Linked DNA regions of Elephas maximus indicus. The protein of the gene in region 1 binds, or shares a complex with, the protein of each later gene. Links are inferred from orthologs where the notes say so. Each region holds a gene or a part of one and is shown in the gene's direction. Other genes may lie near its edges. The genes, in order: EID3, SMC5 and NSMCE2.

What was found.
Region 2: EID3 (region 1) and SMC5 share a complex: the UniProt entries of both Homo sapiens proteins name them as parts of the SMC5-SMC6 complex. The link is inferred for Elephas maximus indicus from reciprocal best matches to the Homo sapiens genes EID3 and SMC5.
Region 3: EID3 (region 1) and NSMCE2 share a complex: the UniProt entries of both Homo sapiens proteins name them as parts of the SMC5-SMC6 complex. The link is inferred for Elephas maximus indicus from reciprocal best matches to the Homo sapiens genes EID3 and NSMCE2.

The regions. Positions count from the first base shown.
Region 1 is NC_064822.1:170,974,853-170,985,485, forward strand, and holds the start of EID3 (EP300-interacting inhibitor of differentiation 3), read left to right. Parts: upstream 1-6,531; 5' UTR 6,532-10,633. UniProt on the Homo sapiens protein: Tissue-specific component of the SMC5-SMC6 complex, a complex involved in repair of DNA double-strand breaks by homologous recombination.
Region 2 is NC_064827.1:85,474,630-85,485,544, forward strand, and holds the start of SMC5 (structural maintenance of chromosomes protein 5), read left to right. Parts: upstream 1-6,889; 5' UTR 6,890-7,012; coding exon 7,013-7,335; intron 7,336-10,915. UniProt on the Homo sapiens protein: Core component of the SMC5-SMC6 complex, a complex involved in repair of DNA double-strand breaks by homologous recombination.
Region 3 is NC_064833.1:18,042,563-18,053,038, reverse strand, and holds the start of NSMCE2 (E3 SUMO-protein ligase NSE2), read left to right. Parts: upstream 1-5,874; 5' UTR 5,875-5,976; intron 5,977-10,476. UniProt on the Homo sapiens protein: E3 SUMO-protein ligase component of the SMC5-SMC6 complex, a complex involved in DNA double-strand break repair by homologous recombination. Is not be required for the stability of the complex.

The DNA.
Region 1 (10,633 bases):
AATGCAGTACTTCTTCCTCTAACCCTAACCATCTGGAGTTAGGTCAGACCTCACAAGGTAAAGGGCACAATCTTTCAGACTGCCAGGTCTGCCCAAGACCTCAGATGCCAGTTGCAAGCTTGGGAGTCCAGCCAACACACTCACTTCTGACCTGTGGCTATAAATGTGGGTAGTTCCCTTTACCCAGCTGTAAGCCTGGCGGTCCCTAGCCTCACTTCTGACCTACTGGCTACTTCTACTCCCTCGGGTTTGATAATTTGCTGGAATGATTCAACAGAACTCACGGAAAGCAGTACACTTATGATTACGGTTTTATTACAGCAAAAAGGATACAACTCAGGACCAATATAAAGAAGAGACACATAGGACAAGGTATGGGAGGATTCCCATCATGAAGCTTCCGTGTCCCAAAGGACGGGCTACCCTCCCATGTGCAACCAGAAAGCCTGTGAAGCTTCTGTGCCCAGAGCCTTTCTTGGGGTCTCATTACGTAGGCATGATTGATTAATCATGCCCCAACCCTCCCTAGTTGATGTCACTCACTGGTTTTTTTGAGCTGCCTAGGCCCCACCCAGAAGGCATTTAATTAGCGTAAACCCTCAGGTGTAGTCTGGATGCTTCATAAAAGATAATCAATGGAGAATTTTCAAGGTTTTAGAGGTTATCTCTTAGAAACCTAGGACAAAGACCAAATTCTTTGGGTAAAGTTAATGTAAACCCCACAGGCCTTAGAAAGCTCTGAACCCTAGCTAGGTTTAAGCAGAGAAAATTTGGGTGTCAGGAAGATTGTTTCAGCTCAGTGATGCGTGTGTGTGCGCACGCGCATGTGTGAGAGAGAGGCTTATTATAGGTGGAATAGTAGTTTAATGCAATACGACTTGCTCAAACACCTGCATAGTTCTGTTTATAAGTGTGTGTAGATGACAACTCAAGTACAAAGAGTCTTTTTTTCAGCATTTTCTGAGTACCTACTATATACTAGGTTCTGAGGTGACAAGATAAATACAACAAGGTGTTTGCTTTCCTAAAGCTCTCATGGATTTAGAAGATTTGTAATTATTATTAGGTACTTGGGAAATCCTCGTGGCATAGTGGTTAAGTGCTATAGCTGCTAACCAAAAGTTCAGCAGTTTGAATCCACCAGGTGCTCCTTGGAGACTCTATGGGGCAGTTCTACTCTGTCCTAAAGGGTTGCTAGGAGTCGGAATTGACTCGACTGCAATGGTTTTTTTGTGTGTGTGTGGACATAGAAGAAGAAAGGATTGATTAACAGTAGATGGTAATCAGGGAAGCCCTTGAAAAGGAGGTGACATTTTAGATGAGCTTTGATGGAGTAGGCCCTTAGGGAGGGAAGATAATTTTGGGCTGGGAGGGGGTAAAATGAGCACAGTTAGGAGATGTGAGAATGTATGACTAGAACAAATGCTGCATAATAAAAAATAGTTGAGGATGAAGCTCTTTTTCCATTAACCAGCAACTAATAGAACTACTGAGCTCTACTCTATATTTCGTGACAAGGGTAAGACACTTGGGTCTCCTTAACAGCAGCAAGAATGGTTTGAAGAAGCGAAGAATGTGTTTTAAAATGGTGATTCTTTTTTAATTTAATTTTTTTCTTTGTTAGAATAAATGCATGAGCTGCTCTGACGGTTTTTGCTATTTAATTTGCTCACTGAAGAACAATGTGAAGTTAAAAAGCCTTATTTAGCTTTTTTTTGGTATGCTATTAAAAAAAAGAAAATATTAACCATAGCAACCCTGACTTGTCTGTGCCTACAAGGTGCTGTCTGTGGAAAGGCTTTTTGAAATCAGTCCTTATCACTTCCTTTAGTACATCATTTCAAATTAAATGATTTTAAAATCCCTTTTTCCTCAGACATGCTTTTGAAATAAGCTGTAGTTCCTATATATACTTTTAGAGTGAGGCGTTTATGACTCTGGTTCATCGGTTATTGTGTAGACAAAATAAGACATAAAAAATGGTTAACACAAGGTTGGCACAGCAGCCAGGAATAAATAAATGTCAGTGTTCTCCCTTAGCCTCAGCTTTCCTTTCATCACATTTTTCATTTTTTATTCCTTAAATCACCTTGTAATGTCTATGTGCTAGATAAAAAAAAAAAAAATTTTTTTTTTTTTTTTTAGATCCATCCTCTGTTCTAAGGACGCAGAATGAGGTGAAGCACTCAAGTTGTTGTTGTCAGGTACTATCGAGTCAGTTCCGACTCATAGTGACCCTATGCACAACAGAACGAAACACTGCCCGGTCCTGCCCCATCCTCACAGTTGTTGCTATGCCTGAGCCCATTGTTGCAGCCATTGTGTCAATCCATCTTGTTGAGGGTCTTCCTCTTTTTCGCTGACCCTCTGCTTTACCAAGCATGATGCCCTTCCCCGGGGACTGATCCCTCCTGACAACACATCCAAAGTATGTGAGACCTAGTCTCGCCATCCTTGTTTCCAAGGAACATCCTGGTTGTATTTCTTCCAAGACAGATTTGTTTGTTCTTTTCACAGTCCATGGTATATTCAATATTCTTCTTCCACACCACAATTCAAAGGCATCAATTATTCTTTGGTCTTCCTTATTCATTGTCCAGCTTTTGCATGCATACGATGCTATTGAAAACACCTTGGCTTGTGTCAGGCACACCTTAGTCCTCAAGGTGACATCTTTGCTTTGTAACACTTTAAAGAGATCTCTTGCAGCTGATTTCCCCAATGCAATGCATTTTTTGATTTCTTGACTACTGCTTCCATGGGTGTTGATTGTAGGTCCAAGTAAAATGAAATCCTTGACAACTTCAATCCTTTCTCCATTTATCATGATGTCGCTTATTGGTCCACCTGTGAGGATTTTTGTTTGCTTCATGCTGAGTTGCAATACATGCTGAAGGCTGTGGTCTTTAATCTTCATCGGTAAGTTCTTCAAGTCTTCACTTTCAGCAAGGAAGGTTGTGTCATTTGCATAATGCAGGTTGTTAATAAGTCTTCCTCCAATCCTGACGCCCCGTTCTTCTTCATATAGTCCAGCTTCTCGGATTATGTGCTCAGCACACAGATTGAACAGGTGTGGTGAAAGGATATGACCCTGACGCACACCTTTCCTGACCTTCAACCATGCAGCATCCCCTTGTTCTGTTCGAACAACTGCCTCTTGATCCAGGTACAGATTCCTCATGAGCACGATTAAGTTTTCCAGAATTCCCATTCTCCACAATGTTATCCATAATTTGTTATGACCCACATAGTCAAATTCCTTTGCACAGTCAATAAAACACAGGTAAACATCTTTCTGGTATTGTCTGCTTTCAGCCAGGATCCATCTGACATCAGCAATGATATCCCTGGTTCCACATCCTCTTCTAAATCCGGCTTGAATTTCTGGCAGTTCCCCTTCTACGTACTGCCACAGCCACTTTTGAATGATCTTCAGCAAAATTTTGCTTGCCTGTGATATTAATGATATTATTTGATAATTTTTGCATTCGGTTGGATCACCCTTCTTGGGAATAGGCATAAATATCGATCTCTTCCAGTCAGTTGGCCAGGTAGCTGTCTTGATTAACTCAAGTTATTACCCACCAATTTAGCTTGCAGCGTGTGCCTGTGTGTAAGGAACCCTGGTGGTGTAGTGGTTAAAATAATAGAAACCACCAAAGGCTCTCTGGGAGAAAGATGTGGCAGTCTGTCTCCATAAAGATTTACAGTATTGGAAACCCTATGGGGTCGCTATGAATCAGAATTGACTCCATGGCAGTAGGCTTGAGCTTGGTGTGCCTGTGCATGCATTCAGAAGGCCATTCAGAAGGCTATCGGCTAACCCAAGCATCCAACTTGAGCCTTAGAAGGGGCTCAAAGGAGTTGGCTATGGTTCAGAGGTGTGGCTTCTGACAGCCCTAAGGGCCCAACAACCTTCTCACCTGAGTGTGCTTGAGTACAGCATTTTCCAAAGAAGTAGGAAAGACATTTATTCATTCATTCATTTAACAAATATTGGTAGCCGCTTACTAGTGTGAGGTGCTGAGTAAGAATGCCAGCAGGACCAAGGAAGTATTAGAGAGCATGGCTCACTTCCGCAGCTGCAGGTGGCTTGGCATGGCTGGAGTTAAATCTATTCTCAGTTTTTGTTGAGGCAAACAAGAGAAACCAAAACCTGAGAGGGAAAAGGAGGAAGTAGTCCAAAGGTAATTTGTGTGTTGGTGAGAATTTGTCACTTCAGAATTAGTCAGAACGGCCTAGACATTTCTTTCAAAAGCCTTATAACTTCCTTTAGGGAATTGCCAAACTGACTAATCCATTACTTTAACACAATGAGTCCCAAACTTTACTGCTCAATAGAATCACCTGAGAAGCTTTAAAAAACACTGATGCCCAGGCCACACCCCATACCAATTACATCAGAAGGCCTGGGGGGGTGGGAGCTAGGCTTCAGTACTTTTTAAAGACCCCCACGTGATCATTAACCGGCAGCAAAATTGTGGAGCTACTGCCTTAGGGCATAATCCAGTTTTGTTCAGTTAAACACACACACACACTCTTGTGTTGGTTCAGGTTCCAAGCATTTCTTAAATTGTTTTTGCTGTCTTCCTGCGTTGGGGGCGGCTGTGAGCAGGAAGAGGATATGGTGTCACCCAGTTAGGAGATGCCACTTTGCTAAACCGATTAGACTAGCTTGCCAACGCTGCACGAGAAGTGGATTTTTGCTTTGTCATTCTGACTTTGGCTGCTAACACTCCGACTCAGGGAAGGGCGTGGCTTCTCGTAGCTATTAGAAACCACCAACCCTTTCACCTCAGCTCGCCTCAGTCCGGCATGTGCCTCGGAGTCTAAGGTGGCCCTTCTGAGGAAGAGCCTGACGTCCGACTGCTCGAACATAGTAAGCTCTGCGGTGATTGAAAACGGACAAAGCGCTAGGCCTGTAGCCTGTGAGCACGTTGGAGACTGTTTGCTTGCAGGGAGTGTGAGCTTTGTGCCTGTGCGGTGCATTATGATTCCAGGGAAAGGGGAGATATTTTAAGGCGGGTCCCAAAAGTGGGATGAGGCTTTTCTAAGGCAGGTGAGCTTCTTGGCAGCGTTCAGAGATGAGTTTCATCTTGGTCAGTTAACGCTTCAGCATATGGTAGGGGAGGCTGGCACTCTGTCGGCTGATGATTTCCTTCCTCTAGCTCTTGTTTGCAGAATATCAGAGAAAATGGGTTTTTGTATAATTTCTTAGTACACGACTCTTGAAATGTAGATAATAATCCGATGAATAGATTGACAGATCCTGGACAGCATTAAGAAAGTGTAAATGTGTAAGAATGCCTTCCCAAGGAAGTTTTACATCATTTAATCATCAGAAATTTTGAGAGGTTGGCAAAGCATATGTAATCGCCATGTTTTTACAGGTGGGGGAAAGCAAGGCTCAGAAAGTTCAAGTGAGTTGCCCAGTTTGACAGAGATTATGAAGTGCGGCAGCTACTGGACTCCAGTGTTTATTATCTCGGTGTATCAGGCAGTACTGGGTAGTGGTTCGGAGCATAAACCTGAGCCACACTCCCTGGGTTTGCGTTCTGGTTTTGCTGTTCCCTAACTAGCTTTGTGTTCTTGGTTATGTTACATAGCTTTTCTGTGTTTCAGTTAACGTATCTGTGAAATGGACCTGGGGCTTGATAATACCTACTTCAAAAGGCTAGTTGTAAAGATTAAATGTTTAATACATACAAAGCATTATGGAAGCGTTAGCTGCTATTGTCATTATTGTTAACGCTAAACAAATGTACGTTTGAGTGTTGATTTTGTCTCATGAATGGCCCTGACATCGTTGTAACTGAATTGTTTTTAATTCTATCACTGACTCATTCTCTGCCTCAGTTCACCCTTTGTAAAACTGAATTATTAGTTCTGGTCTTATCTAGAATTTTGATGCGGTGCTTCGAAGTTCTTAAGTAAAAGCACCCTAAATGGGCAGTGTTGGTAATTTTGCTTCGTGGTTTCAAATTTCTAGAAAACATTGGAAGCTGGATTTTGGCATTCTATATAGGTGCAGAGTTCAAAGCCCAATTAAATGGGGAAGCGTTTTGTGAAAGCTGAGAAAATTTTGTCTTAAATTCTTGCTGGAAAAACGGGACGGTTAATTTTAGCAGAGACTTGCTATGATTTAACTGACGTTTCTATCTAGCCTTGAGGCCATGTTTTCAGTTAATACAGAGATTGTCCAGGTCCAAAATCCAAATCTGACTAGGCTTTAGTCATGGTCAGAAATGGAGCAAGTCATGCTAACTTGCAGGGGAGTCACCGCCGCCTTTCCAGAGGGCACACAGTGCACTGGAAGGCCCCGGGCCCCGGAAGCTCCGCCCCTCCACAGTTCCCGCCTCGGTCGGCTGTAAGAAAGACCTTACAGACTCCACTGTCTGCTTTTTTTGTGCTACAGAGGACGGGCTGGTCCTGGAAGGAGCGCTCTCGGCATTGACCTTGGAAACCAAAGTGCCCGTGGTGTTTGTGAAACAGAGAAAGATAGGCGGCCATGATCAGACCTTGAAGGTAGGAGATACTGACGTTTCTTTTACCCGCCTTAACTAGGAATGAGCTCAGCGAGCCCATTGTGGCAGCTTCCTGTTAAAGGCAGTGTTCTGTGAATGAACCTGAAAACGGAGCCCATCCTTAGAAAATGACAAAGAAACACTTGTGGGATAACTAACATTGTTAGTTCACATTGATCAGACGATGGGTAAATTTAAAGACGGGAAGCTTGAAACGGGAATATGTAACAATTTTCATATTTTAAAATAAATTAAAAAAATTGCCTCTCCCCCTGCCTCCCTCCCAGTCAGTCTAAATAACTTAAAAAATTTTAGCGGCTGTGTAAACTTTTGATTTTGCGTCTTTTAGGGAAGTACTGTGAAAAGGGAGTCAGGAAATTCTTATTCTCCTCAAGTCACCCCTGTCTCTTCCTCTTTAGTTCCCCGGGGTGGGGGCGGGGGCGGGGGGGGGGGCCAGAAACCCCCAGGCTTCACTGAAGAAAGCAACCAGAAAACTCCTGGGGTGAGTATATATCTTTTCAGAAATCTCTTTTTTTTTTAGCCCAGAGCTAACAATTGGGTGGAGGAAAAAAAAAAAGGGAACAAGAAATCTTCCTTTTGGTTCTTGACAGGATGGGACACCCTCCGCCCCTTATGACCAGCCACTGACCGCTGGAAAAATGCATGGAAGCTAAATGCATGTTTAAGGCTAGATGTATGAGTGATGTTCTACTGGTTATCATTTTAGAAAGTTCTAGTCCTCATCCATTTGTAGCTGTGTAGTTTTTAAGAAATGGAACTGATACATGAACATTGTCTACTTAGCAGTAAACCCGAGGCCTGATTTGAATGAAAGAATGTGTTTAGGTGTGTGTGCCTTTAAGAAATTATTAACAATTTATATTTTTATGTATTACCTTTTCTTGCTTCTGAAAGAATCTCATTTAACTTTTTAAGAATGGGTGTAGGGAATGGAGCTAGACTTCAAAGACAGCAAGTGAATGGGAAATAATTAAAGGAGATAAGAAGACTTTTAACTTTGTTTGAAATACATTGTTACTCAGACCTTTAGTTTGCAAGTAAAATGAGACAAGTCTATTAATACTCCTTTCTGTCAGATTATTCTATTCTATCCACCTGTGTCATAAACTTATGCTTAAAAGTTACATAGGCATTTGGTCTTTATATAATTCTACAGATGCTCCTGGTTTTAACATCAATGGGAGTAAAAAGAATCACCATTTTTATAAGCTTTGGGACCCACTTTATTAACATGATTTGATGTTTTCAGTTCCATATGATCATAGTTAATTTCAGATCCTTAATGAGGTGCAATACCATGAATGAAAAGCATACCACCAAGGCATACTTAAAACAAAAATCATTTAGCACATCCCTTTTAAGTAAATTTACTACTCTACTATGTATCATTTGATTTATTTTTGTTTTTTGATGAGTGCTAAGAAATGGAACAAGAGACACAACAGGGGTAAGGACTATCAATTTGAAGTTTGCGGATTTCCAGCCAGTTATTATCCACATTCGGTGATAAATCTTTAGGGAGCTTTGGGTTTGAGTGGAGAAGTGTATTTAATTAGTGGAGAGTGAGTACTTATAGAAGTTGTGTCCTAATCTTAAAGTTCATACCTTTAAGTTAAGACTTCATACTTTACTTGCTGCTTAATCAAGTAATGGTGAGGGAGTCTTTAGAATATCCTTTTTGCCTTTCTCCTTTTAATATTGTTCCTTCCCTTCATGTCCATTTCCCTCTTCTTCTCAATAAATAACAACAGCAAAACCTACCTTGCTTTCACAGTGCACTACTGTAGAAGAGGGAGAGAGAATCCCAAAGGCAGGATCTGGTGAGCCTAGATGACTACCTAAAGGATAAAGACTTTAAAGAAGTGTGTTTAAAAAAAAGTGTAGAATCCCCTGGAGTGCTTTTTAAATGTGTATACCTTTTTTTTTTTATACCTGAGCTTTACCTGTGTTCTTCTTGAATAGACCCTCTTTATTTTCTTTTCAAAAAACTCCCTCAGATAATTCTTAAGAATATCAAATTTGAGGCTGCTTTAGAGGAGTTTGGTCAAGATCAGTTGATAAAATAATTAGAATTGGAGAAAACAAAGATAGTAGTTTGAAAACCATTGTTGTCGAGTTGATTCTGACTCATAGTGACCCTATAGGACAGAGTAGAACTGCCCCATGGAGTTTCCAAGGAGCGGTAGAAGATTGGAACTGCCAAACTTCTGATTAGCAGCCATAGCTCTTAACTGTGGCACCACCATGGCAAATGGTAACTCAACAGGGGTGTAACGCTTCACACCTGCTTAGAAAAATAGAGAAATGTGTTACCTAAGGGCCAGGGCTTGTATGTCCATGCGTAAAATTAGAACTGGGGAGCTGCTAAATGCTAGAACCTATGAATAGAGTTCCTATTGCTCAAAGACATCTGACTTTTATAAACATCTTAGTTTTTAAGCCCAAGATTACAAGCATTCTTATAGGGAGTCTCATACGTAGATCAGTATCTTCAGAATTCCAGATTTCGAAACCACTCATATAAGTGACCATTGGTGGTGTTGAACTGAATGAAAAAGTCCTTGTTGGAATATTAAGTGCCAGACAGAGTTAAGACTTAGTAGTTTAAGGTAACTTGTCTCAAAACTGCCTTAAAACTAGTAGCACAATTTAGATAATTTCTTTAAGGCAGTAATAGAGATGACAGATACAACACAGTGGGTGATTAACATCCAAATGAATTGTGCAGGCAGTCGGAGTAGGAGCTCAGATGTGATCATATTGTAGTCGGGTTCAGCGGTGTGACGTTCCAGCCTAGGGAGGTAGATACTGAACAAAAGGTAGATCTCCTTTCAAGTCTGGCTTCTAAAGTTACTAGAAACCAGACTGTTAATGAATAGACATCAGAAATAAGTGGTATTTGAATAACTTTCCAGCCACTCCACTCAGTACTGTACCAAACTTCCAGAAAACTTGATTTCCTTTGATTCTTTGAGGTAATTCCATTTCCGTGGTGGAGGATTAGTAGTGTATCTGCTTTTGGCCTGGTTTAGGGTTGAGACCTAAAGGAGAAGATAAAGGAAATAAACAGGCTCCTTGGGTGGTGCAAATGGTTAACTAACGCAGCTGCTAAGCAAAAGGTTGGAGGTTTGAGTGTACCCAGAGGTGCCTCAGAAGAAAGGCCTAGCAATCTACTTCTGAAAAACCAGCCATTGAAGACTGTGTGGAGCACAGTTCTGCTCTGACACACAGGGGCCACCATGAGTTGGAATCGACTCGAGGGCAACTGGAGGTGGTGGTGGTAGTGAAGGCTTACCTTAATAAGAATTTGGAACTTTTGGGGATAAGGACTACAAACAAGATTTAAAAGAGGAAGTGGATTGTTAGGAATGTGAATAAATTTATCTGGTACACAGAATAGTAAAATTTTACTGGTTGAATCCATGTTGAAATCCACGTTGAACTCTATTCATAGAGCCAGCATTTAGCAGCTCTGCAGTTTCGATTTTACACGTGGACATACAGGTCCTGGCCATAGGTAGCATATTTCTCTGTTCTTCTATGCAGGTATAAAGTGTTACACCCCTATCAAGTACTCGCTTCTTCCACTTCTACCAAGTGACAACACAGACCTCTTTGCTGTGTAGCGTTATTATTCTTACATGGTTGGGGCTTCACATTTGATCTTGCCTTTCCTCTTTGTTCACTTACCAGGACTCAACTATTTCCCACACATCTGCGAGTTGCCTCTATTAACTTTTGCCCAGACAATTTCAGGGCCTCATTTCCTCTTGCCTAAACTATTTCAGCAGTCTCTAACTGGCCTCCTGCTTCTGATCTCCCTCCCTTTCTGTTCCCTTTGCTGCCAGAGTCATCTTCCTGATGGCTGTTTCACTGCCCCTCGATCCCATCCAGGATAGAGTGTACATTCCTTCGCTTGGTATTCTGTACCCTCCAGGGTCTGGCCCCAGCCTGCTTTTCTGGTTATCTCCTCTGCTCCCTCATTTACTGGAGGCTCCTGGGAAGGCTGACTGTTGCAGCTATACTCCCTAAAATTTTCCTCCTTTATTCTGTTCTTTATTTCAATTCTTGACTTATTTTTCTGCCCA
Region 2 (10,915 bases), on another chromosome or scaffold:
CACTGATGTCTTCTGTTCACTCTCTGAGAGCTACGACCTGGTCTCTCCGACTTCTCATTCCCATGCCGGGGGCATGTTTTCCCGAGCAATTTAACAGAAAAACCGGAACTGGAAAAAAATGTTTTTGTGACTGATCTTTCTAATGCTGCTGCATTTTCAACACGCGGATTACAGAAAGGGGTAAATACACTATAGTGATTACAGCCACGGTTTCTGAATTCAGGCTGTCTCAGTTCAAATCCTGGCTCTGCCACTTACAAGCTACACTAACACCCTCTCTGACTCTTTTCCTTATCTGTAAAATGGGGCAAATACTAGTTCCTTCTTCGTAAGGTTGCCGTGAAGATTAAATAGTAACAATAGAAATAGATATAAGCACTTAGAGCAGTGTCCGACACCCATAAATCCATTTTAGTTTACAAGGGTTGAGTGAATTTTTCCTTATAAATTCTGGTTATTTTTATATATTTTTCTACAAAGCAATTTTGAGTTTATAGTGCCATCTTAAGGATAAAGCAACCACATAACCTTGTCATTTTGTCTTTTTTTTATTGCTAGCAGCACAAGACTCATCTTAACCAGAACCTGAGCAATGCCTTCCCCTTTTCTCTTCCCACTCCAGTCATTGTTAATGGTTCTTCTGGGCTGCCTTCCCTCTGTATACTTATCCTTAGTAAAATGTGTCATGATAAATGCCAACTACTTGTTTATACATCCATCTCCTCAAGAATGGTCTCTTATTCAATTTTGTACCCCTATTTTTTACTGTCTAGCTGGAAACCCTGGTGGCGTAGTGGTTAAGTGCAACATCTGCTAACCAGAAGGTGGGCAGTTTGAATCCACCAGGCGCTCCTGGAAACCCTACAGGGCAGTTCTACTCTGTCCTATAGGGTTGCAATGAGTCGGAATTGACTCAACAGCAGTGGGTGGGTAGACTAGCTAAGGAGCCCTGATGGTGCAGTGGTTAGTGCTCGGTTGCTAACTTAAAGGTTCGCAGTTCGAACCCACCAGCCTCTCCACAGGAGAAAGATGTGACGGTCTGCTTCCATAAAGATCACAGCCTTGTAAACTCTATGGGGTAGCTCTACTCTGTCCTATAGGATCACTATGAGTCAGAATCAACTTGACAGCAACAGGTTACTATCTAGCTAAGGAGCCCTCGTGGTCCAGTGGTCAAGCACTTGGCTGCTAACCGAGAGGTCGGCAGTTTGAGCCCACCAGCGGCTCTGCAGGAGAAAAGACCTGATGATCTGGTCCAATAAAGATTACAGCCTAGGAAACCCTATGGGGCAGTTCTACTCTGTCATATATTCACTATGAATCATAATCTACTCAATAGCACACAACAACTGCCTAGCTACCGTAAAGTAGAGGGCCAGTGAAAATGAGGGAAACCCTTCATCAGATGATTGACAGGATAGCTGCAACAATGGGCTCAAACATACCAACGATAGGATGGCATATGACCAGGTAATGATTTGTTCTGTTATACATAAGGTCGCCATGAGTCAGAGCTGACTAGATGGCAACTAACAACAACTGTCTGACACACTCAACAAATAGTTCTGGATTAAATAAACAAACGCTCAACTAAAGCATTTAGTTTAGTATAAACATGCATGTGGTTTCCAAAAAATCATAAGGCATATGAAAGTTCTCTTCGGTCCCTCAAAACTTCATTGGTTCTTTTCATGTATTTGTCAGGACATTACTCTCCCCATCTGTCACGGACTGAATTGAGTCCCCCAGATATGTGTCAACTTGGTTAGGCCATGTGTGGCAGTCCTCCATTTTGTGTATTATAAATCATAATCTCTGCCTGTGGTTAAAGAGGATTAGGGTGGGATGTAACACCCTCGTTCAGGTCACATTCCTGATCCAATGTAAAAGGATTTTCCCTGGGATGTGGCCTGCACCACCTTTTATCTCTCAAGAGATAAAAGGAAAGGGAAACTAGCAGAGAGTTGGGGACCTCATACCACCAAGAAAGCAGCACCAGGGGCAGAGCACGTCCTTTGGACATGGGATCCCTGTGCCTGAGAAGCTCCTCAATCAGGGGAAGCCTTCCTCCAGAGCCGACAGAGAGAACGCCTTCCCCTGAAGCCGACGCCCTGAATTTGGACTTGTAACCTACTGGACTATGAGAAAATAAATTTCTCTTTGTTAAAGCCATCCACCTGTAGTATGTCTGTTATGGCAGCACTAGATGCCTAAGACACCATCCTCTAATATTTCATAAATCACCAGGCTGCAGAGTTCATATTTGCATATCGTAAAATATGCAGCAAATTTAAACCCAGACCAAAAGTTCCATGAAGACTATGAAAAAATGTGGCAAGAAGGGGTGAGAGAAGAAATGGAGTAGATGTATACACGAGTGGGAGTAAGACTTCACAATACATAGCGTTAAAAATAAATAAATAAACATTGCTCATTTGAAAAATTAAATTTTAAAAAATATGACAAGAAATATATGCTTGAGAACATGAAGGTATTCTACAAGGTATGGGAGAGCGGACAATAACCTGAGCACCCCATCCACACGACAAAACACTTAAAAATGCTTGGTGAGATTTAACAAACTTTACTGTAAACAAATAACTAAGCTTGTAAGAAAGGAAAGGAAACCTCCTCCAAAAAAAGAAAGAGAACCGAAAAGCAGAGATGTATGAACAATTCTGGAGGCGGCTGTCAATCTGGGTACCTAGGGATTTAAGCTGTTGCATTAAAAAAGAAAGAAAGAAAGAAAAAATTACCCATAAAAAATCAGAAAAGAGCCTACCAAAGGTGAGGAGTCCAGTACTGAGATTCCAAATAAGGCTAAGAATCTTAAAGAGCTACATCTTCCATGGAAGAATACACCACAAAAAAAAAAAAATTTTTTTTTTTTTCTTTCCAACACAGGGAGACAACGATGCTTACCTTTCTCCATCTGGACTACGGAGTCATGGCAGGAGTTCCTTGAGGATTTCTAACTGGATTGTACAAGTCTGGAGCACAAACTGCCCTCCCCTCGTGTTCTGGGAATCCACAAGCTAACAATATAACATGAAAATGTGTCCCTGGCCAGCGACATCCTTGGGGCACCCGGTAGAAAAAACATAAATTTCTTTAGATGGCCATACACTCAACCCAGGCTGCACGGAATTCCCACATCAAAAACTGCACTGAAGAAAGACTTGTAGTTCAAAACTACCAAACACTTCGTGAGGCAATCCACAAGGCGCAACTCAGCAGAACTAACTACCCAAGCTTCACAAACAGGGATTTTTTGGTAGATACTTTAAAGTAAGTATTTTTAAAATGATTAAAGACATAAAAGCAGCATGGAAAACGTAACCAAGGCTACTTTATGAAAGAAGGTAGGCAAATTTAAAAAAAGCAACAAATAGAACTTCTGTACATGAAAAGGACAGTTATTAAAATTAAAAATTTGGTAGAAGAGGCAAACAGCTAATCAGACATATCTAATAGAAGAAAAATGGTGAACTGGAATATAAGGTAAAAAACCAGAATGCCATACAGAGAGATAAAGAAATGGAAGATATGAAGAGGAGGTTATGAGATGTGAAAAGAAACTGAGAGGGGTCCAGAAAAAGAGAATGGGAGAGAGGCAATATCAAGGGGAAATATTTGAGACTGTTTCAGAATTGGTTATAGAAAAAAATGCTCAACATCAGTGGAATTAATGAATTCAGCAGTGTCAAGATAACTACATACTTTTAGGGGTGCCACGAAATTTTTGAAGAATGTTAGGAAGAACTGCCAGAAATATCACTCGTTCATGGTAACTTCCCGTCACACAGAGTCCGACAAAAAGCAACTACGTACGTAAATCAACTATAGTAAATTTACAGGGTCTCTGTGAGTCAGAATCCACTGTGCGCCAAGTTTTTTTTTTACAGGTTTTATAGTAAATCTATTTAATATTATATAGTCATTAAAAATTATGCCACAGAAGAATATTTACAAGCATGGGAAAATATTCATAATATATTAAGTGGCAAAGAAGACGTTAAATAAAATACACGTAATATATTATGTATAGTATCATCTTTTTCTTTCAGGGTCAGGGAATACTAAAAAACACACACCAAAATTTTAAGTTTCATTAGCTCTGGGTAGAGGAATTATGAATAATTTTTTGTGTATGTTATTTTCCTGTCTCTCTCCTCATTCAAAAAAATTTCTGTTTAACACGTAAACATGTATGAGTTTTGTCATACACAAAATGTTACTCAGTGCCACCAAGAAAGAAGAGCTGGAAGTGGAGCATATCTTTTGGACCCAGCGTCCCTGCACTGGGAACCTCCTAGACCCTGCGTAAACTGATGCCAAGACACATGGAGATCTCCAAGGAACGTCAGGTCCACAGATACTGAAAGGAGACAAAGACCTTCTTGAACAGAGCTGACAGAGAGAGAAAGCCTTCCCCTAGAACTGCCCTGAATTTGGACTTCCAGTCTTCTAAACTGTGAGAAAATAAACTTGTTTGTTAAAGCCATCCAATTTTGGCAATTCTCTTACAGCAGCACTAGATAACTAAGAATTTGGTACTGAGACTCGGGCGCTGCTCTAACATACTTAAAATGTGGAAGTGGTTTTGGAATTGGGTAACAGGTAGAGGCTGGAAGAGTTTTGAGTTTTTTAATAGAAAAGGCCTAGATTGCCTTGAAGAGACTGTTGGTGGAACTATGGACATCAAAGGCAATTCTAGTGAAGGCTCAGAAGGAAGTGAAGAGAGCTGTAACATCGGAGATGGCACAGAAGGCAAGAAGCTGCAGCAGCAGAACCAGGAGACAAATCAGTAAAATTTTCCGATTTAAATAATGGTGTTAGAGCATGAGTGCTTTGCTGCTTAGTCTGAATTTGTGTAGTCATCACAAGTTCAAAAACACTGTTTTATTAGTTTATTTAAGAACTGATTGTGGTGGAAAACTGAAGCCTGGTTCCCTGCCTTCAACTCCCATTACTACTGCCTATATATATTTTTCCATTAGGACCAACCCACTGCTGTCGACCCCTAAATGTAATTATTTCTTAGAAGATTTGACTCTTTTAAGGCTTTTGAAGCAGTGTGCCAAATTACTTTTGAAAAAAATTTGACCAACCCACTGCTGTTGACCCCTAAATGTAATTAATTCTTAAAAGATTTGACTCTTTTAAGGCTTTTGAAGCAGTATGCCAAATTACTTTTGAAAAAAATTTCTACTGGTAATATAGAGGATGCCAGTATTGTGCTCTCCTGAGTACTGAGTGTTTTACCATTATTATTATTACTGCCTGCCATTTGAACAGTTTTAAAATTATTCTTTCAATTTGCCTTTTTTTCTAGTAGCTATGAGGAGTTCATACGCTTTTTAACTATTCTATTTTCATCGGTTATAACTTTGAGAAAGGTTGGATTCCATTTATGTGAGGAAGAAGCCTGGCCCTGGAAGAGAACTGTTGGTCCAGGAGTTCCACTACAATAGCTTTCTAAACAGCCTCCTTGCTTCCATATTTGACCATCTCCAGTAGATGCAACCAGAGTGGTTATTTAAAAATTTTAATTAGATCATGTCCCTCTCTTGCTTAAAGCTACCCAGTGGCTTTCCATTGCTTTCAAAATAACATCTAGGCTCTGTCATGGTGGAGCAATAGCTATAAAAAAAAAAAAAAAAAGGCCTCATGTTCAGTAGAAGGTCATGGAAAAATGAGTGAAACCCTCAACGAGATGGACTGACCCAAAAGCCACAACAATAGACTCAAACATACCAACAACTGAGAAGACAGCACAGGACTAGGCAACATTTTGTTTTTTTCTATTAGATTATATACAAGGTAATCGTGAGTTGCAGCAGACTGCATGACAACTAACACTAACAATATGGTGAGAAACGTTGTTATGCTACCTTGTTCACTACACTGCAGTCACACTGACCTTCCCTTTGTTCCTCAGCCATCCATGTTGTGCCCACCTCAGAACCTTTGCTCTTTCTGTGTTCTTTGACTGGAATGCTCTTTTCTCAGATCTTCACACATCTGGCTCTTTCTTGTCCTTCAGGGCTCGCTCTGCCATCACTTCCCCTGACGGGCCATCCGTGCCTCTACCATCACAATCATGGTTTCATTTCCTTCATAGCACTCAGCTTCATGTAGATGAGACATTAATGTTAGTTGGGTGACTAAAGATCTACCTAGGCCTGAGTGCCCATCTTTAATGAGGGGGGTGGTTAACTAGGTAAATGACAATAAGGTTGTTGAGAAGAATTACCCTTTCAATGAACCCTGTGCATTCCAGCTACCGGATTTCCAGAAACCTTGGGGGAGGAAATCTTACCGCGGAATTAAGGAGAGAGGGGGTGGAGAGTCAATGAAGATAAATCTGTGCAGTGTACTCTTTTCCATAATTTTGAGAGCGAGGGCACCTAACACGACACTCCATGAGAGAAATACAGAATCATTCGATTTTCATTTTTTTGAGACGGGGTACCTCTTTTGAAACAAAGGGGAATGGAACAAGAAGACGACAAGACTGAGACCGGTGTGACCCGGCGCACTCGGGCAGAGTCCCAGCAAGCCGGGTCGGAGGTCCCTCGCCTCGGACGACCCCGCGCCCCGGGCGCCACCGCAACCGCCCCTCCATTCCCTCCCGCTGCACGTGACGGAGGGTCGGGAAGCGCATCCGGTTCTTCGGAGCGCTGAAATGTTTTTTTAAAATACTAAAAGCAATAGGCCTTTTCCTGAGTTAAAAAAAAAACAAAAACTCTGGAAACATGCAGGAATGTGCAGAGACTAACGTGCCCCTCCCCCACATCCCGCCTGCTACTCGGCCAACCAGGCCTCCTCCGTCCGGCCGGGCGCGGCTGGGCGGGACACCGGACGCCGGCGGGCCGGAAGTGCGCAGGCGCCGGGCGGGCTCGCGGGCTCTGTCGCGCGCCGGGCAGTTCGCGCGGGAGCCGGGGGCCCGGGCGGCGGGGCTGCAGGTCGAGGGGAACGGAAGCGGCTGGGGGACCGAGAGGGAGCCAGGATGGCGACTCCGAGCAGAAAGACGTTGACCTCAAGCCCCCAGGTCTCCAAGAGAGTTCTTCCGAGAGATCGTTCATCGGAGGTCCCGAGCAAGAGAAAGACTTCTGTCCAGTCAACGCTGCCGCCAACGCCGCTGCTGTCGCCGCCAACGCCGCTGCTGCTGCCGCCGCCAACGCCGCTGCTGCTGTCGCCGCCAACGCCGCTGCTGATGCCGCCGCCAACGCCGCTGCTGCCGCCGCCAACGCCGCTGCCGCCGCCACGGCTGCAGTCGTCCGGGCCTTTAGTGGAAGGCTCCATCGTCCGCATCGCGATGGAGAACTTCCTGTGAGTGGCCCCGAGGCCGTGCCGCGGCGGAGGAGGCGAGTGGGTCCCCAGGCCGGGGGGCGCCAGCTGCGTGCGTGTGTACACGTCGGGGTGTGTGCGTTGTGACGGCCGGTGCGGGGACGGAATGTGTGCTGGGTTGTGGGTCTGGCGGTGAATTCGCCCCGAAGGTCCGATGTTACCGTGAGGCTTTTTACGTAGGCGGTGGAGATCGACGTGTTTGTTGTGTGGTAGATGTGTGTGTTGTGTATTGTGTTCTTTTTATGCATTCTGTCAACGTTTTTTGAAGGCGTCATGTGGCAGGCAGTGGACGTACGAGGGACTAGGTGTCAGCCTGCTGGGAGTTACGGACTATAGGGGATATAATTTATAATTCACAAAACTGTGGGCCCGGGGAACTCAGGAGACAGCACTTTAATCCGAGTAGCAGTGATGCTATGGCAGGTTCCTAAAGAGTAGGCTTTTGCCGGGTGGACAGAGGAGTAGATAAGATGGCACAGGTTGTCCTGGATGGGGGTTGAAATGTACAATAAAATTAAATCTCACTCTCAATGGTTGTTCCTCTCAACAGACCTTTGATTTCTCCAAATCCAGCGTTCTTCCCTGGTTCATTTTCTCTCCCTTCTGTCAACTAGTAATCATTTTAGATTTTAGTAAGTATGTTTTAATAAACATGCCATGTATTTGTTTAGCATCTTACATACAGTTCATTTGTTCAATGTCTGTTTTTTGTTGTTGTTGATTTTTTTTGTTGTGTTTCTTAAGCTTCCTCAGAGTGGAGTAGGGGGAACAGAATTGTGATAACAATACCGCCATTTTTCAAGCACCTACCATGTGCCAGGTACAGAACTAGGTGCTTCATTTACCATATGTTCTCTCTTTCTTTTCGCCTAACAATTCTCTGTATATTTCCATTGATGAGATAAGCACAGAGAGGTTAATTTGCCCAGATTTACACAACTAATAAGTAGCTGAATTGCTCTTTGCATTTAGACCAGGAAAGATAAATTAATCAATGAGGTCGATTCTGTAGATGTCCTGGGGGCACAAAAGAAGTGGTTCATTTTGCCCACAAGTGTGAGAAAGAGCTTTATAAAGAGGGTTCTGAAAATCTTGAAAGATGGGAGGCTTTCTTCCCACAATCAACAAAGGAGAAGAGCATTGCAGATGGGAAGAGCTGCCTGAACAGTTTGGTATATTTAGAAAACTTCCAGTATTTCAGTATGGCTAGAACATAGGATGTAAATGAATATGTGGGCAGAGGTGATATGGAAAGGTACGTAACCATTGAGGGCTTACGTGTTTACTATGCTGCAGAATCCCAGCTTGATCCTGTAGGCAAACAGGCTGAGTTTTAAGTGGGGACTGACATGTGGTTTGTGTTACTGTGGAAGCAGTGTGGGGGATGATGCAGAAAGGGTGCAAGATTGGAGGTTAATAAGGAGATTTTGTAATAAGGAAGCAAGAGATGATGGGGTTTGAACACAGGGGTAGTAACGAGGTATAGAATTAGAAAGAAAAAAGATTAGATAGGATCTGGCTACAGATTAATTGTGAGACCTGAGGAGAAGAAAGGAGTGCTGCATTTTTCCCAAGTCTGTTACTTGGTTAATTGATCAGATAGTGCTACTATTCAGAAGAGGGAGCAGTTTGGGGAGAGTAATAATAAATGCCTCTTGAATCCTGTGACTTGAAGTTTCCTGTGGAACATTTCAGATATTGAGTTATATATATATATATATATATATATATATATATATATACATATATATAAGGGTCTGGGGCTTAGGAGAAAGTTCTGAATAGGTAAGAGATTTTAGAATCAGGTATACAGGCGATTATTGAAGTTACGGGAATTGTTGAGATTCCTCAAAAGAAAATATAAGCAGGAATAGAAGGCCAGGTACAGAGCCCTTGATAAATGCCGACATTAAAGGGTGAGTAGGAGAGGAACTCATAGACCGAGAAGGAGCTGTTCAGGGACAGAAGAGGAGAATGGGGGGAGAATATTATCACAGAAGCCAAGGAAAAAAAGTGTTTGAAAAATATTCTCTGGTACGATGAAGTCAGATAACAGGACTGAAAAGAGCCCACTGAATATTGCAACTAAGAAATGTTTGATTTTTCCAGTCTTAATGGTCTGACTGAGACTAGAAGGACCCCAGAGGTCACGGCCCCCAGACCTTCTGTTAGCCCAAGACTGGAACCATTCCCAAAGCCAATTCTTCAGACAGGGATTGGACTGGATTATAAGACAGAACATGATACTGGTGAGGACTGAGCTTCTGGGCTCAAGTAGACACATGAGACTATGGGGAGCTCCTGCCTGGAGGGAGATGAGAAGGCAGAGGGGGACAGTAGCTGGCTGAATGGACACAGGGAATACAGGGTGGAGAGGAGGAATATACCGTTTCATTAGGGGGAGAGCAGCTAGGAGTACATGGCAAGATGTGTATAAATTTTTGTGTGAGAGATTGACTTGATTTGTAAACTTTAAACTTTCACTTAAAGCACAATAAAAAAATTAAAAAAAAAAAGGGGATGTTTGATCTTCGATGAATTAGTGGAAGCAGAAAACTTTGTAGGCCATAGAAGAATGAACAAGGGATGAGGAAGTAAAGATTGGATGTAAAGAGGAGAGAGAAAAGAAGTCAGCTGGAAAGTGCAGAACCAGGTGAAGTTTTTGTTGATTTTAACAATGGGAAGACTTTGAGTTTTAGAAGAGGAGTAGGAGAGGTAGGTAGGCTTAGAAAACCAAAATGACCAAGAAGAAAGCAGAGTCAGGGAAGGATTCCTGTGAGAGAACCAAGTCCAGTGGGGTTGGGAGTAGATGTTTCTAGGCAGAAAAAAATAGCACATGCAAAGGCTTGGAGAAAGGAAAAAGTGTAAGTTGGTCAAGAAACTCAAAGAAGTTCATTATACAGGTAGTCCCCAACTTGTGATGTGGTTTCACTCTGATGACTCCGTTTTAAGTCACTTCTGACATAAGTCGAATACCTCGTTTTTGTTTTCACTATTATTGCCTTGTATAGGGTCACTATGAGTCAGAATCAACTTGACGTCAATGGGGTTTTTTTTTTTTTTTTTTTTGTATTAGTAGCGTTTTAAGTCTGATCTGTGTTTTGGGGGATTGGAAACATTACATATAAACATCTGTGAGTGAACACCTAAGAATGATAACATCCGCGAATTACACACTGCAACATTGTATGTAGTACATATTAGGATAAAATATACCAAAAAAAGGACCATCGTGTGATTCATCATAACTTGAATATGTTGTTAAGTTGGGGACTACCTGTGTCCAGAATTTAGAGATCTGAGTAGAGAATGAGAAAGGGGGTAGAAAGAAGAGAAAGACAGGGGGAAAAAAAATGTTGCCTTTGAGTTGATTCCAACTCATAGAGACCCTATAGGGCAGAGTAGAACTGCCACATAAGGTTTCCAAGGAGCAGCTGGTGGATTCGAACTGCCAACCTTTTGGTTAGCAGCTGAGCTCTTAACCACTGTGCCAACCAGAGAAAGATGAGGCTAGGGCTAAATTGTGAATTAAAGAGATTAGATTAGGGGAGAGAGGAGCTAG
Region 3 (10,476 bases), on another chromosome or scaffold:
AGTGTGTGGTCAAGATAAAGAAATACTGGGTGCAGCTGCCATTACCCTGTCAGCATGGAGCCTTTACTTGATCTTATCTTGGCTACAGTATTCTTTTTATGATAGATGATCTTTAAGAAAGTGGCATCGTCTAGGAAATCAGGGCTAGAGAAGGAAACCCAGAAGTTAGAAAAGACATAGTTTAGTAGATGACACTTAAAAACTTTTCTAGGGCTCCCAGCTGGAACAAAGGAGAAGACCAAGGATACAAGGGAAAGATTGGTCCAAAGGACTAATGGACCACAACTACCACAACCTCCACCAGACTGAGCCCAGCACAACTAGACGGTGCCTGATTATCACCGCCAACCGCTCTGACAGGGATCACAATACAGAGTCCCAAACAGAGCAGGAGAAAAATGTAGAAATACAGAACAAAATTAAAATTCAGACACACACACACAAAAACCCCAGGCTTGCTGGCCTGACTGGAGAAATTCCGAAAGTATGGCCCCCAGACATCCTTTTAGCTCAATACCGAAATCACTCCCAAGGTCCACCCTTCAGCCAAAGATTAGACAGGTCTATAGGGCCAACAGAAACCCTGCTGGCGTAGCGGTTAAATTTTACGGCTGTTAACCAAAGGTTCGGCACCAGGCGGTCCTTGGAAACTCTATGGGGCAGTTCTACTCTGTCCTATAGGGTCGCTATGAGTTGGAATCGACTTGATGGCCGAGGGTTTGGTTTTGGTTTTTTGGTTTATAGGGCCAACAATAACACATGTGAGGGATGTGCTTCATAGTTCAATCATGTATACGAGACTAAATGGGCACACCAGGCTGAAAGCAAAGACGAGAAGACAGGAAGGGACAGGACAACTGGACAAATGGAAACAGAGAACCCAAGATGGAGAAGGGGAGAGTGTTGACACATCGTGGGGTTGGCAACCAATGTCACAAAACAATCTGTGTATTAACTGTTTAATGAGGAACTAATTTGCTCTGTAAACTTTCACCTAACTCACACACTAAAAAAAATTCCTCTGAAAAAATATTATTAAATAAAGTTCATAATTTCTTAAAAATTTTTTTTTCCTATGGCAAAGAATTACAACGATGAATTTGCAATGCAGAGGGCAGACAGAGGGTTGATTTTTAAAACACGCAAAGCGATCTCACAAGCTGACAAGAAGAGAGCAAATAACCCAACAGAGAAACAGGCAGAAGATATAAAAGGTGAGTTCAGGGAAGAGTAATCCCAATGACAGACAACCATCCGAAAGATCCTTAGTTCACTGGCAGTGAAGGAGCTACAAATCAAAGCCAGTGCCAAAAACCACTTTACTTCCATTAGGTTGGCAATGATTAAAACGTATAATAATATCTGTTTCAGGTAGGAACTGGGGAAATACACTACTGGTGGAAATGTGAATTATTAGTCTTGAGAAAGTGAACCAATACTTACTGAAATTAAAAATATACACACTTTTTGACTTAGTAATCTCATGCCTGGGAATCTACGCCAAGAAATAAAAGCAGCAACATATAAAGATACAGGTCCAAGGATGCTTCCTGCAGAATTGTTAGTCATCTTACAAAATTTGAAGACAAAGTAAATACCCATTAGTAAGGAAACTGGAATTTAAGTAGCCATTAATAAGTAGGAATTAGAACTACACCGGTTAAGTTGGAGGATTTCTGAGAGCTATTACTAAGGGGAAAAATAAAGATGCAGAAACATAAATAGGATGCTTCCATTTTATAAAACAAAAAAAAAGTGATGTAATTAAAAATTATGAAAGTATACCATATAGTCCCCTGAAATAAATCAACTCAACTTGGTTTGGCCAAAGAATTAGTACATAGTTGATAAGAGGAAAAAAAAAAAAAAGAAAGAAAGAAAATCTTTTTTCTCTTATCGTAATTTTACTCTAAATTTTGTGTAATATAAAACTGGTACTTTGGGGGAGTACATGATTTCACCAAAACTGTCAATTTGATAATACAATATCCTGTACTTCAGAGTGGACTTTCATAGCCTGACCTTAAAATGGTAATTTTTGCACAAAAGTTTCAAGGCATCATTTTCTTCTCAAAGGCTCTCCCAACCATTTTTGTCACCATCTTTGTTGTATTTCTTGTCTCTATTGTTAATTTAGCTAGGTCATCATTTGTCAAGTTCATGGAAGCCTGTGTCTTTTGCAACATTTGCACTTTCACTCTGCACTGGTATTGTACTCTATACATATGATATTAACCATTAGGAAATAGCTAGCAAAGATAAGCATTTGGCCTCACAGACATCATTGGCCAGGAATATTTGAATAAAAGTAGTCAGCTCATTATCATTTTTATGTCAATACCATCTTTTATTTCCACAGGCAGTCTTACAACACATGGACTCAGATACTGAATGCTGAAATAGTGACTACACTGTACATAAAACCAGAATGTGGAAAGATGACAAAAATTACAAAAAATTGTGGCTTCTGGCTTGGGTATCTTCTGTAGCTTGCTTGCCACAGGGGAAGCAAATTGCCATGTTGTGAGACAGCCTTTGGAGAGGCTCATGTGACAGGGACTGAGGCCTGCCAACGATCACAGGAGTGAGCTTGGAAATGGGTTCCCACAATCCCAGTTAAGCCTTCAGGTGAGACCCTTCAGATGTGAGCCCATGCTCAGCTTGACTGCACCCTTCAGAAGAATCCCTGAGGCCAAGGTATTGGGCTAAGTCATACCCTGGCTTTCTAAACACAGAAAATGTGAGATAATAAGTAATTGTTGTCTTAAATTACTAAATTTTGGAGCAGTAATAATTATCTGGGTGAATGGCATTCCAGGTAGGGATTAAAAGTGCAAAGGCCTCAGGACAGGAATGTGCTTGATGTGTTTAAGGAACAGTAAGATGGCTGATGTGGCTGGAGCCTAGTGAGCAAAGGACAGAAGGAGAGATCAGGAAAGGTGGATGGGGTTGAGTTTGAGAGCAAGGAGATATGAGAAGCCACTAGGCTGTCTAGAGCTCTCATGACGGCATCCTATAATACACATAAGGCATGGATTTTTAACAAATCCTTTTAGTTTTCTCTGTGATGTTTGCTTGTTAAACCACACTGATCTCTAACAGGCTGAATTTCAGTAAATTCTGAAGGAGAACTTAATTTTCTGCAATGATATGGACTGGCATGGAAAATGAGAGAGGAAAAGGGAAAAATAAAAGACAACGGGCAAAACAGTCCCCTGTGGAGGGTCCTCTGAAGAACACCAAACTAAACCAGGTCTCAGCAGGATGAAAACTCTAGACACATTCAGAGAGGGGCAAGCGATAGTTAACAGGTCTAACTGCTACCTGGTTGTGGATAACGAGATAGGGCCAACAGTGGGGCCCTGGAGCAGTTTAAAACAAATCAAGTTAACTACTTTCTTCCTCACTCCTTCCCAACAAGCAGACAAACAGACACACTCAGCACCTTCAAGTACATATTCAGAGAAGCTGACGCCTCAAGTTCAAAACAAAACTAACTGGGATAATGACATAGACTTTTGCATGTCAATCTCTTGTTTTAATCCTTATGCCCTAACCCAAGAATTACAACGTAGCCAATTTCCAGAACAACATTAGTAGGAGAATAGGAAAATAAATGTTTGGCAACAGTGAGAGAAATGTTATGGACCTTTAATATATAGGTTAATCACCTTGTCTAAAATTCTAAAAAACAAATGTTTATCTTGACTTTTTTAATATAAAAGCAAGATATGGTTATATTTAATGCCCTTTCAGGGAAGTGCCTGTAATCTGCCCCAACTCATGAAGAACAGTTGAGTTTTCCTTCCCTAACACTGCTAGCATCTCTAGCTAAATTTTTGAACAAGCTAAAACAAGATTAACTGAAAGAAGGAAATCACTTAGTTACATTACCACGTACTAGACCATGTCATCTGCACTAGTTCGATTTTTCATGTTAACAAATGAAATTACCACAATTTGCACAAATTATTCTTTAGCTAGAGTATCTGGTAAACAGCCCCCACTGTTGACAGAAAAACTGGCCCTGAAGAACAGAACCTAGGAACCATCATTCAAGATGCCCAAACACCTTGCCTCCATCTCAGAGTTAGGAAACTTTACAGAAGGGGCAGTGGTTCAGCGGTAGCATTCTCGCCTTCCGTGCAGGAAATCGAGGTTTGATTCTCTGCTGATGCACCTCACGCTCAGCCATCATCCGTCAGTGGACGTTTGGGTGTTGCTGTGATGCTGAACAGGTTTCAGTAGAGCTGCTAGACTACGATGGACTAGGAAGAAAGGCCCGGCCATTCTGAAAAGTAACCAACGAAAACCCTACGGATCACAATGGCCTTACCCCCAGGCAATCATGAGGACGGCACAAAAGTGGGCATTCTGTTCCACTGCACACGCGCTTGCCTTGAGTCGGGGGTCCAATCGATGGCAGCTAACAACCACAGAGTATGGTGAAAATAAAAACTGTAGAAAAAGCTGTCTATAACCAGCCTTTGAGGGGTTCTCTTGATGCTAGAGATGAAGGAAATTCATAAAGACCGTTTTACTCAATATAGGCTGCATTACTACTAGTGTAAAAAAGAACCAGAGTCCACTCAATTTTCTAGTTTTTTTTTACAAGTCATCCAGAAAAGAGGTTGTAACTTTATTTTTAAGAATGTGGCACAAAGCTGGGCTTTTCAGTTTGGAAAGTACTCCTAGACAAAAGACAGCACGCTTTCATGAAGAAAGGTTGGCATCATCACACCATGAGTACAGAACCGAAATTCTGAAGAAAATTAAATTATTCTGAGACAAACTACTGTTTACCCTACTCAGAGGACAAAGGATGATGTCTATTTTTATCATTTCACAAAACCTCAGTTCCATAAAGAAGGAAGCACTGGTTTCCACAAATCCATTATCAAAAACAAAATATAGTGGTTGCTGACCAAGATGAAAGTGACAGGCATATCTGTTTCAGAAATGTTCTGAAATGACTCTGATCATTCTACTCGGATTTATGAATCCAGGTGAAGGAAAACTGGGGGTCCCTCACTGTGGGCAGAGGCAATAAAACTCGCCCCTCCCTCCCATCACCTATGTTTGAGAAAGAACAGTGCACTTCGAATTAGAAGACCCGATTCTATTACTGGCTCTGTCACATTTTTTTTTTTTTTAATGGTGAGACCATAGGCCTAGAATTCTTTTTTCGAAATGCAAAGGACAGGACTTTGGCGCTATTATGTCACCTGTGAGGAAATTAAGGTGCAGAGAGGGGCAGTGATTTGCCCAAATCCAGTCCATCACAGAACTAGAATTCAAATCCTGGTCCGTTAGACTGTAAAAGTTCTCATTTTTCTTGAGAGTAAAAAGAATTATGACGTTCGCACGGCACTGCTCCGTAGAACTTGGAAGAATCAGATAGGAGCCCAGCATGGAAACATCGCTTCCTAAAGCGCCAAAGGAATGTGCAACATTTTTTCCATCAAAGTGGAAATGAAGAGCCTGGACTGCAGCCCCCAGCCACCTGCTGCCGCCAAGTCCTCGGCCCTAGGGCCCTCCCTCCAGACCCCCCCACCCCGACGCCAGGGTGGCCCAGCGCCGGGACGGAGGACGGGAAGAGGAAACGTGCAGAGGAGGGCGCGCGCACCTCGCCCGACTCACCTGTCACTAGGGCCGCGCCAGTGGCGCTCATTCAGGGCCGGCAGTCGCACACGGACTCGCGACCTCCGCTCCCCCTACGCAAGGGTCCCCTTAGATCCCCAGACTGGTACAGCCACCGGGACTGACCCCGGCTTCCGCTCCCGGAGCCTCTGGCCGTCACGTGACCAAAGGGGCGGTGGGCAGAGCGGGGCGTCACGTGACCACGCTCCGGCGACGGCTGATGACGCAAGGGCCCGCTCGCCGTTCTCAGGGGCAGTGCAAGGGGGTTAGGAAAGGTGTGGGGTACCGTCATGGGAAGTCAGGGTGCAGCCGGACGGAGATAGGTCGGGCAGCCAGGTAAGGCAAAAGCGGGGTCGGCGGTGGAGAGGGTGGCGGGAGTTGTGTCCTCGCTCCTGGGCGCTCTGCGCGTGCCCTGAGCGGGAACTGTCGACTTGGGTTTGGTCCTGGCTCTTTTCACGCAGTGAGACTGGGGCAGTTTACCTCCCTTTCCTAGGCACCGTCTCTCCAAACTTCAGTCTTGAGTGTGTGGGGAAAAGATCACGAATTTTTGATCCAAATAAATCAGGTTTTAACTTTTTACAAGCACGGCCTTGGACAAGTCAAGTAAATAAACTCTTTGGGCTTCAGCTTCCTTTTCTCTTACGTAAATTGTTGTGAGGATTAGCGATAGTGACAGGGAAGCGCCCACAACTACTTTATGGCACACTGTTGGAGAAGGAAGCTCTATTGTATTTACTCCTATTTTTATTATAGGGTCGCTGTGAGTCCGAATCGACTTGACACGGTGGGTTTAGTTTTTTGGTCTTTACTCTTTCCATTGTTCTTTCTTCTTGGTGTTCCAGGACCTCTTCTTTTATCATTTCCTTTCTGTTTCGGAAACTTTTTCTTTAGTCATTCTTGTAGGGTAGGTTTGCTGGTGACAGATTCTCTTAGCTTTCCTCCACTTAATAACAGGGCCTTGAACCGGTTCGTTCTGGTGTGAAGCCTGCTGAAAATTTGCATTTCCACCTGTGATAGTCAGAATCAGAATCCACAGTTTAGCAACATCCCCAGGTGATTTTTATAGATCCCCAGGTGATTGTTCACTGGTTCCAAGCCTTGCTTGAGAATGTCTTGATTTCCCCTTTATTCCTGAGGGACATTTTTGCTGGACGTAGACCTCTGGGTTGACAGTTCTTTTCTTTCAGCACTTGGAAGTTGTTGTGCCATTTTCTTCTGGCCTTCATGGTTTCTGGTGAGAAACCTATCTTTCAAATTATTTTCCTCTATAAGAAAGGCAGAAACTCTGGTGGCGTAGTGGTTAAGTGCTATGGCTGCTAACCAAAGGGTCAGCAGTTTGAATACACCAGGTGCTCCTCGGAAACTCTATGGGGGCAGCTCTACTCTGTCCTGTAGGGTTGCTATGAGTTGGAATCGACTTGACGGCACTGGATTTAGCTTCTTCTTTTTTTTTTAATAGGAAAAGTTTTGTTTCTCTCTCACTGCTTTCAAGATTCTTTGTTTTTAGTGTTCTGAGGTTTGGATATGATGTGCCATGATGGTATTTCTTTGACCTTACACTATTTGTAGGTCCCTGGGTGGTGCTATGAGTTGGAATCAACTCCAGGGCGACCAGTTCCCCCGACCCCCGCCCCAGGTGGCACAAGTGGTTAAGCTTTCAACCACTAGCCTAAAGGTTGGTGGTTTGAAACCATTAAAATCACTAAACAGCACCACAGAAAAAAAGGCCTGGTGATCTGCTTCCATAAAGATTACAGCCAAGAAAACCCTATGGAGCAGCTCTACTCTGTAACACATGGGATCTTCATAAGTTGGAATTGACTGGACAGTAATGGGTTTAGTTTTTGAGTTTTTGTCTTGTTTGTGGTTCACTCAGATTCTTGAAACTGTAGGTTTATGTCTTTTGTCACATTTGGGAAGTTTTCAGCCATTATTTCTTTGAGCACTTTTTCCTCTCCTCTGGGACTCCAATGAGATGAATGTTAGATACTTTCGTATAGTCCCATGTGTCCCTGAGGCTCTGTTCTTTTTTTTTTTCCCCTCAGTCTATTTTTCTCTGTTGTCGAGATTGGCTAATTTCTATTCTTGTCTTCAGTTGCATTGATTCTTTTGTCTGTTGTCACCATTCTGCAGTTGGGTCCATCCGTTGAGATATTTATTCCGATTATTGAACTTTTTTTAGTTGTAAAATTTTCATCTGGATTGTCTTTATATCTTACATTTATTTGCTGTGACTTTCAGATTTTTTATTTGTTATAAGCTTGTTTATAATTGCTTTTTTCGGCATTGTTACGAAGGCCACTCTAAAATCTCTGTCCGATAACTCTAACATCTGTGTCATCTTGGTGTTGGTGTCTGTGGGTTGTTTCTCATTCAGGGTGAGGTTTAGCACTTCTTGGTATCACTAGTGATTTTGGATTGAATCCTGAACGTTTTGGGTATTATATTATGAAATGCTGTATATTATTTAGATTTTCTGTTTTAATAGGCCTTCTGTGACACTGAGCTGCTGAGGGAAGGAACAGTGGCTTGTTACTGCTGGATGGTATTGAAAGTCCAGTTCCCCACTCAGTCTTGTTATGACTGTGAAGGGGTGGGAGTGCAAGCTCCCTGCTAGGACTCCCCGGTACCACCGTGGCTGGGAGGGGTACGGTGCCTTGTTACTGCTCTCCACATAGCCTTCACCGTGGGAGTTGGGGGACGGCCGTGTTACCCCTAGGTGGTAGATGAAAGTCTTGGCTGCCCTCTAGGCTTCCTCTGACACCAGCAGGGCAGAGGTTGGGGTGGACATACAGGCTCCTCAGACAGTGTCCACTGACACAGCAGGAAGGGGGAAGAAAGGCTATGCAGGCATGAAAGTTCCAGCATCCCACTAAGCCTTCTCTGAGGCTGTGCCCGGAGGAGTGCCTCATTACAGCCCAGCAAGGGCGAAAGCCTAAGCCTTTGCTGATGGGGTTGAGGCTGCAGAGTTTTTGTTGTTGTTTGCGTGTTTTTGTGGTGTTTACCTAGAGTAGAGCAATTGTCTAAAAGTTTGGCTTGCTGCTGTTGTTGTTAGGTGCTGTCGAGTTGATTTTTGACTCATAGCGACCCCATGTGCCGGAGTAGAACTGCCCCGTATGGTTTTCTTGGCGGTTTTTTTTTAATCTTTTCAGAAGCAGATCGCCAGTTCTTTCTCCTGTGGAATGGCTGGGCAGGTTCAAACAGCCAGCCTTCAGGTTAGCAGCTGAACACTTAACTGTTGTGCCTCCAGGGCTCCTGTTTTGGCTTTCTAGGCCGCCCCTTTCTTGCTTCTTTGGTTAGAAAGAGCAAGCTATTCTTGGGATTTTTTTTTTTTTTTTGTCTGTGTTGTTGTCCTGCCTGGGTTGTTGGGTGCTCAACCACCCAGTCTGGGATAATGAGGCAAAAAGAAAACCCAAGGAACTCACCACTGTGTTCTTCAGCTCTCCTGCTCCTAGCCAGTCTGCCTTCTTCTTTCCACCTTTCAGAGTCTTATGTTGGTTTTACACAATGTCCAGGGTGTATAGGCAAAACCAGTCATCTAACTCAGACAGCCTGGCTCCAGAGGCTGCATGTTTAATTGCTATTCTATATTGCCTCTACAGTGTAGCTAATAAATATTTTAATACAGACATGTTTCCTATTATCTCTAAGCGAAAGTGATATTCCAGGAAGATACATCCTGCTTATACTGTGGGTTTGGCCCTGTTATTTAACTGTGGTTCATATAGTACAATTTTATAACCATGCCGCTCAATCTGTGATGTCCGGTATGGTAGCCACTTGCCACAGGTGGCTATTTAAATTTAAATTAATTGAAATTAAATAAGATTAAAAACTCAGTTCCTTGGTCACACTAGCCACATTTCAAGTGCTCAGTATCCACATGTGGCCAGTGGCCATCACATTAGAGAGTGCAGGTTATAGAACATTTCCATCATCACAGAAAGTTCTATTGGGCAGTGCTGCTGTAGATAGTTTAGGCTTACCCTAGAATCAAGATTGACTGGAAAACTGAATACTTAGATCATTCTGGTCCTTGAAGGATTGTGTTTTTTTGTGTGACAGTTGGTGCTATACCAGGGAAGCCCCCAAATCTACATGGCTTTGCACAATTGAAGTTTGTTTCTTTCACACGTAGAACCTGTCTGGTGAGCAGATTTCCTCCATGCAGTGATTTAGGGTCCCAGGCTCCTTTCATCTAGTAATTCTCTATCAACATAAAGCTTCTTAGGCCACGGTGCTTGCCTGTGTCAAGCTCTCAAATGGAAAAGAGTATGGGGAAAATGTGGTTTTCACGGGCAGGGCCTGGAAATGGCTTACATTTTTCATTGGCTTGAATTCAATCAAATGGCTACACCTAACTGCAAGGAAGGCTGCAAAATGGGGTCTAGCTGTGTGAATGGTTAAAGAGGAAATGGGCTTAGTGGGTACCTAACTGATCTCTGTCATGACTATCCTGTCTTAGCTTACACTGTGGAATAGGAAACAATCCTGGGAAACTTGCTATTACTGCATTGATTGTAAGCATATTATTGAGGATATTTTTCAGTATGACCCTGTTACAGTTTTGGAGAGATATACTGTTCTAGGTGCTGAGGACACACATACAGCATTTCCATTGCCATAGAAAGCTGTATTTTTTCTAAGCTGGTGTACTTCTTCTTTATGGGGAAAGAAAATTCTAAAACTTTCATTTTTGTTTTGTAAGGAAGCTCACAGTCATACGTGTGTTGCAAGTATAATACTGTATATAATCCTAAAGCCTGCATGACTGTGTTCTAATTTTCTCATGTACTTGGTTTTCCATTTTATCTGTTTTTATTTTTTAATTGGGCT